Arabidopsis thaliana: one gene and its partner. The protein of the gene in region 1 interacts with the protein of each later gene in a pairwise test. Each region holds a gene or a part of one and is shown in the gene's direction. Other genes may lie near its edges.

Region 1 (3,754 bases):
GCTTTAGCTCAGCTAGTATACGAGCAAGCACAGGGAAGGCAGTGATTGATAAGGCAACACCCATGAAGACAATAAAAGGAAGCTGATCGACTCCTTTGCTTATGGTGGCACTGAGAACAAAAGATGTGCCTACACCCACTATAAAAGGAAGTGAGATCCCAGCTATGGCTATCAATAGTGATTTCTTTCCAGTTTTTTTTATTGCTGCAAAGTCAAGCTCAAGCCCAACTAGGAACAAGAAAAACAGAAGACCAATGTTGGCGAGTGTGTCTAAAACGGTCAAGCTCTTCTTTGGGAAGATGGTGTCAAGATAGGCCTTGCTTCTCCCTAGTGCAGAAGGTCCAAGCAGTATCCCTCCCTACAGAACCATCCCTTTTAGTCTCTTTTGCTATGTGATTTCATCAAAACAGAAAAAGAAAAATACAAAGAGATTGAGTAGGAAACTCACAATGATCTCAGCAATGACTCGGGGCTGTTTGAGAGGCTTAAGAAAGTAAGCTAAGAGCCTTGTAAACACAACCACCAAGACGATTTGTAGGATGATAAGAGGAAGCGCGAAATCAAGAGGGCTTTCGTTTTGGAAGGCTCCATTGGAGGTAGCCTTCATTGGACCCGGGCATTGCCCTGTAACGTTGGTGCTTGCCATCCTAGTGGAGATCTACTTACAGGTTGATGATTGGTCAAGAAACGAGATACTGCTTCACCCTTCAATACTGCCTTGGCTGCTCCCTCATTGCATTGCCAAACGAAGTATGAGACCTGAATGGGAGGAAAAAAAAGAAATCAAGATTTTATTCTGTTCTGTTACTGTTTTTATTAAACAGAATCTACATTAAAGAAGTGAGTATATAAAAGGAAAAAACAGAAAACTAATAACGTCTATAGTTTGCTAATAATAGGTAGATGAGATAGAAGCGGACATACCAACTCCAGGGTGGGCATATACCTCGCACTTTTCTATTTATAGACTATCAGTTACTTAACTTCCAACCATATCGCATCTATACTTCGCAGATATGAACTGCCTTCACTGCGCCGAAGTTTTCGTCTCTGTCTTTGTCCTTCTGTCCTAAATTTGCAAGCACTTGTACCTGTCTCTTAACTAAGCAGCACATTTGATGTCTTACCTTCTGAAGCTTTGTAAACATCAACCATTTTCAAATATATTATCATCGTATAGACGATATAAACATTCTTGAGATGCATAAGTAGTAAGAACAAATGAACACATTAAAAAGGAAGAAGTTAACACTGTTCCAAGCCGACTAATCTAAATTTCAATCATGGGTTCTATACAAGCAAATTTCTGAGAAGGACAAAACAAAAAAAGACTTAAAATTGGAGACCGTGTTCTATTTGCTGAAGCAGCTAAAGCCATGGTAAGTGTAAATTGCACGGTCAAAGGCCACCTTTGTGATCCCATTCTCTACGCAGGATTTTTCTATAACTTCTCCAACTTTCTTAGCCATTTCCTAATCAATTCCAAGAAGAATCAAAGTTAGACAGTGTCCAAGAGAAAAACAATTGAAGCTAAGGGTCTCATGCTAAAACTTGAAAGGTTTCGGCTAGAGAATTTTGTAGATAGATTGTAGTTGAATTCAAAGCAGGTGGTAGTGAAGAACTCACAATGGTAGAACCAGTGAGCAAAAGATACAGAGCCTTGGCCATGGTCTGAGAATTGAAGGAGCTTTAAGCCACCGTACTGAATTGGAATCGGCGTCGAGGCTGTTCTCAGCGAGCTCAGACGCTGGATTACATCACCCTCTATATTTTGTAGGTTTCGAATCTTCGGTGGCTCTCTCGGTTCAATCGCCGCAGTCGGAGAGGAGAGTCTTCCTCCTCCATCTCCACCGCAAGAAGCGACCGTCGATCATCTCCCCCGCCATATACAAATGAGAATCACTAAAAAGTTTTTAACTACAGTTGGGCTAAAAGCCCAATAATAAAGCCCATAAATGAAACGACATCACAGTCATATAAATAAGAGTTCAAAAAGATGAATAATTCCGGGAAATTTTTAGAGGGCAGAGTTGTGTTTCGGCCCAGCTTGAGTTAGGGTTCCTGTGGGGAAACATGAGAGCTTTTTACTGAAGTTTCAAACCTAACTAATTTGTGTTACATCGATCCTTGTTCAAATTTGAAAGATTTGAAGATGATGTCCGATCTTCCAAGAGATTTGTTGGAGGAGAGACTCTCTAGGGTTCCGGTGAAATCATTGAGAGAAGCGCGATTTACCTGCAAAAATTGGAAAACATTATCCAAAAAGCGGAGCTTTACAAAGAAGCACCTTGCTCAGGAAGCAACATCAAGGGAAAGTGAGTTTAAGGTTGTCATGGTCTTGCATTGTAAGGTTTATCTAACGAGCATCAACCTCCGTGGAATTCACAACGGCTTTGACCCGTCTATAAACCGTCAAGCTAAACTTGTTAGCCTAAACGGTACAGATCAGATCGATATATCTGAAGTATATCACTGCGACGGTTTACTGTTATGTATCTCGAAAGACTACACTAGGGTCGTGGTTTGGAATCCGTATAGGAGCCAAACTTTGTGGCTCAAACCCAGTAGTCCTGACCATAGAATGGACTGGTATATCTGTGCTATAGGATACGAGAAGCGTAAATCAAGCCTACGCTACAAAGTTTTGCGATTCGTTGATTTTGCCGAAGAAGAATTTGTTGAGTACGAAATATACGAGTTAAAGTCTAATTCATGGAGGGTTCTCGATGTCACTTCCGACTGGGAAGTAGAGTTTTATGCACGAGGTGTCTCTCTCAAGGGAAATACTTATTGGTTTGCTACAGACAAGTTTCCAGAAATCAGCAGTAATCTTATACATAGTGTTTATTTCTTGCTCTGTTTTAATTTTACATCGGAGAGATTTGGGCCGCGTCTTCATTTGCCGTGTTACCCTATGGATGTAGATACTGTGAGTCTTTCTAGTGTTAGAGAAGAGCAACTTGCTGTGTTATTTCAGCGTAAGGACAACTTACATATGGAGATTTGGGTTACGACTAAGATTGAACCTGAAGAGGTGATGTGGAGCAAGTTGTTCTTAGCAGTGGATATGCAACCACTCACTGATTTTAAGTTTGGAATTGCAGATGCGAGTTTCATCATTGACGAAGAGAAGAAAGTTGTTGTAGTCTTTGCTAAAGACAAAGATGTAATGTATCCCACTCACAACACAGCTTACATCATTGGAGAGGATGGATATTACAAAGAAGTGGATCTCGGAAAAACTACTGATAAAATTCGAGATCCACTTGTGTGCTCGTATGTTCCAAGCTCAGCGCAAATCAAGCAAGGAGGCAAAAGGAAGAAAAAAGGGAAATTGATTACTGATTAACATTTATATCTTGCTTTGTGATCTTCTTCTTTCAACAAAATTTGGTTTGAAATAGGATAAAATTTTGTTAAAATCGAAAGTCTGTGAAACTGTAAGTTTGGTGTGAAGATACTATATTATCTGAATCACTCGCTACTTTCAGCAATCTAATCAAAGGACCAGTTCACGTAGAACCAAATCTTCAACAACAAAAGAGAAGACAAATTGAAGAAACAGATCGAAAAACACGACCACTAACTCTGCTATTCATAAGCTAATGCAATGAATGATTCAACAAAGCTTCATTCACAATCCTTCCTCAGCTTTAAGAATGCGCTCCCGAGATCAACTAAACCTCTCTACTCTTCGACGGCGCAGCTCATCTAAAGGGAGATCATTAGAAGAAGAAAGTGCTGGTCCCTGATT
Region 2 (3,754 bases), on another chromosome or scaffold:
TTGAAATGTTGTTTTGAATTCAATTTTGCAGGAGGTATCAGAGCCAGCAGCTCAAGCTCTTGTTAATCTTTCTCAGAAGTGTGAATTGGCAAAGAAGATGATTCAAATGGGTTTGATTAAAGTGGCCATGGACATGTTGTATAAGCCAGAGTCTTGTATTACCAGATTACTTGTTATGCTTCTAGTGAATCTTACTCAGTTGGATGATGGGGTTTCTTCTTTGCTTCAGGTCGTTTATCATAAGTTAAATTTGTGTAATATATAGTGGGGATTATCTTTTGGTAGTCTAATGGTGACGTAGCTAATCGTGTAAAACTTTATGCCTTTGTTAGATTGACGATGAGAAGATGCATGGACTACATATCATGAAGCTTGTTAGGTCATTTTGCAGGTCTTCTGGTGAAACTGCTGGTATGTACTTCCCACTTTAGTATTGTAATATAATTTGTCCAAGTTTATATATATATATATCTACTTCTAGATATGATAGTTTGGAATTTCCTTTTCATATATCACGTTTTTGTTTCATATATCTAAATCTAATCCTCGGTAGGACAGTCTAGAATTTTAATGTTTGCATTGGCACCATTGAATATTATGCGTAGTTACTTACTGGTAGTTTTTTTAGTTTGCAATCAAGTTTCATAGCTACTGTATAAAAAGAGGAATGAATTACTGAATATTGTTCTTATTTGCGCACCAGATGATCAGTTTGAGCATGTTGGTTCGATCCTTGTCAACATATCAAAAACAGAAGATGGGAGGAAATTGTTACTGGAGCCAAAGAGACGACTATTAAAACAGATCATTAGGCAGTTTGATTCAACAAATCAATTGCGAAAGAAAGGGGTACGTTTAAAAGGAGTTTGGCAGATTACTCTTTAATGAACATGTTGCTTAGTCTATACCCTTTGAACAATTTAACATGGATTATGCTTATCGGCTTTCAGGTTGCTGGGACTATTCGTAACTGTTGTTTTGAAGCCAAAAACCAACTCCAGAATATACTCTTGATATCAGAGTTTCTTTGGCCCGCTCTGCTCCTACCAGTTGCAGGCAGCAAGGTTTGTTGATTTTGCTTTATAGCTGCTACGTTGTTGCTTACAAAGGTTTTCTTCTTTTATGAGAAAATAGTTTCTGATTATTGGGTTTTACTTTCCTTAGACATACAGTGAGCAAGATGTCGCAAAAATGCCACCTGAGCTTGGAAGTGCACTGTCCATTGAGCGAGAACCAGTTACTGATCCTGACATTCGCGTTCAGACACTCGAAGCTATATATTTGATCATCTTAGAGGTAAAACATTTCTCTGTCTCGCTTTCCCTTCTTGTGAACTCTTGTGAAGGACCAATCAAACCCAAAACTTACAAAAGGTCCTCTGTTATGTCAAAACTACTTTTGATGTTGCAGGAGGCAGGTCGAAGGGCATTTTGGTCAGTCAACGGCCCACGGATTCTACAATTGGGATACGAATATGAAGAAGATCCGAAAGCAATGAGAGCCTATGAGCAAGTCGGTTCTTTGGTATGTTCACTCCCTCTAATCTCACTCACTGACTAACTCTACAGGACTTAAGATAGCATCTTTCTCACTATTAACCGTTATTTGCTGTGCCGTTTTTAACCAGCTTGTTGAGGAAGCTGGAGGTCCGGAAGAGTCGTTGGAGCCAACAAAAGCAGAGTCTTGAAGTTCATTATTTGTTGTTCTCCGACTCTAGTCCCCATTATTGGCTGCCCTCGCAAAGTAAGTTACTTATCCTGTTATGAAAGAGTTACTACTACATCTTGTGCACTACTAGTTGTAACACTAGATTCGTTATTGACTTACGCGATCTTATTAGTGCTCCATTTTCTATTTTTGGTTGTAATTTTATTTTATATTAGACATTATAGTATGTTATCTTCGTTAGACAATATATTTGTGTATTCTTACACACATTTTTTGCTACTTCTCTAATTGTTTTGAATCTGAATCGGAAATCAAGCAGAGAAGATCTAATTAAACTACTAATGAGTTAATGTTTTTTACATATTTTATAGAAATATCAATTAATAAACGATAAACACCACATTATTGCCAACCCCACGAGGTAGCCACCAAATGTGTCCACAATTGTACAGATAAGAGAACAGAGAGGCAAAATCAAATCAATGATTTTGTTTTTAGACTTTTATGTTTTTTGGCATGTGTTTCTAATCATATTTTCACCATTCGTATATTAAATTTTTAATATGTAGAGATTGTAATTAATTAGCACACATTAAAATTGAAACCAGTTGGCGCCTTGACCATTCGTTTAAAGCCACGTGGAAAATTCCGAATAGTTGGGTCCCACCTGAAAAATCACGTTAGATCTCTTCATCATCTCCTCCTCTGCATTTTCTTCTCCTATTCTTCTCGACGACGAAAGAAAACACCGAAGCAACGAGGAAGAAGAAGATTATAATCTAATCTCTCCTTCGTGTAGTTTAGCGAAGAGTGATGCGATTTTCTTCTGGCGGTGTTTGATTTCGTATTCTCGAGTTGTTGTGGGGGAGAGATTGATTAGAATTAGAGATGATGAGTTTCGTGATTTCAGATGAATTTCTGGGGACATTTGTGCCGATTCTGGTGTATTGGGTGTATTCAGGGATGTACATTTGCTTAGGATCTTTGGATAAATATAGATTGCATTCGAAGATAGATGAGGATGAGAAGAATCTCGTTTCTAAATCTGCCGTCGTTAAGGGCGTTCTTCTTCAACAGACTCTTCAGGCTATTATCTCCGTTATTCTCTTCAAGGTATTGAATCTCTCTCTCTCTCTCCCTTCTTTGAACATTGTGGCAAATTTGTGAATGTTATAGGATTTTGGTTGTGGATTATGCTAATAATGTTGTTGTCCTCCTTGTGCTTCTTGTTAATCTAATTTTGTGGTTAGTGAACTTAGGTCGATGAGAATGAATTAGGGGTTTTCTGATTTCAATTCACCTTTTGTTGTCCTGAAGCTGTTGGATCAAGGTTACAGATTTAGGCTGCATTAAGAATAGTTTAGATTCTGGAGATTGTTTGATGAAATAAAACTTGAATCTCCTGCTTCTTGCTGTTTTATATAGAGAATTTGCTAGATTGTTTCACTTGAAATTCTTGAACATAAGGCGTTACTTTAGAAAAGCTTTTACGTCTAGATTTGTGATTCCCTTGTCTAATAGTGCTTAGAGGAATACAATCTTTACCCTTCATCATTCACATGTGCAAGGTTTTGTTCTCTTGCATGGGAGACCGTTATAGATAGTCTTGGAATTTCTCACTATTTGTGTGTTTCAGAGTCGTGAGCTTGTGATGTTTCTCTGTATTGGAAGAAATTGATTGAGGTTTCTAGTTCTCATGTTATGGTACACTCTGGATATTTTGTTGATAGAGCTTCATATATTAGCATTTTGGAGCATTTGTTTCTTGTTTACCTGAAATATTTTGTTTGGAATTTGGTTGTTCTCTTTAGATAACAGGAAGTGATGCAGATGCTGCTACGACACAGCAATTTTCCATTCTACTTCTGGCTAGGCAGTTTATCATCGCTATGCTTGTAATTGACACTTGGCAATATTTCATTCATCGATATATGCACCTCAACAAGTTCTTATACAAGCACATCCACTCTCAGCATCATCGCCTTATTGTGCCTTATTCGTATGGAGCTCTATACAACCATCCACTAGAAGGTCTTCTCTTGGACACTATTGGTGGTGCTTTGTCTTTCCTCTTCTCTGGTATGTC

The links. Proteins that work in one complex are often made in the same cells at the same time.
Region 2: the proteins of AT3G17620 (region 1) and SBH2 interact in a protein complementation assay, tested with the Arabidopsis thaliana proteins (one large-scale study listed by BioGRID).

The regions. Positions count from the first base shown.
Region 1 is NC_003074.8:6,026,093-6,029,846, reverse strand, and holds AT3G17620 (F-box and associated interaction domains-containing protein), read left to right. Parts: upstream 1-2,152; coding exon 2,153-3,349; 3' UTR 3,350-3,401; downstream 3,402-3,754. Other genes in the region: CHX19 (cation/H+ exchanger 19), read right to left, coding at 1-358, 449-646; AT3G17626 (structural constituent of ribosome), read right to left, coding at 1,353-1,472, 1,627-1,668; RBL14 (RHOMBOID-like protein 14), read right to left, coding at 3,674-3,754.
Region 2 is NC_003070.9:4,880,587-4,884,340, reverse strand, and holds the start of SBH2 (sphingoid base hydroxylase 2), read left to right. Parts: upstream 1-2,075; 5' UTR 2,076-2,556; coding exon 2,557-2,781; exon of another isoform or gene 2,782-3,369; coding exon of another isoform or gene 3,370-3,372; intron 3,373-3,479; coding exon 3,480-3,754. Other genes in the region: AT1G14300 (ARM repeat superfamily protein), read left to right, coding at 32-229, 333-411, 704-849, 951-1,064, 1,165-1,524, 1,628-1,687. UniProt on the Arabidopsis thaliana protein: Involved in sphingolipid trihydroxy long-chain base (4-hydroxysphinganine) biosynthesis. Can use C18- and C20-sphinganine as substrates to produce C18- and C20-phytosphinganines (D-ribo-2-amino-1,3,4-trihydroxyoctadecane and -eicosane).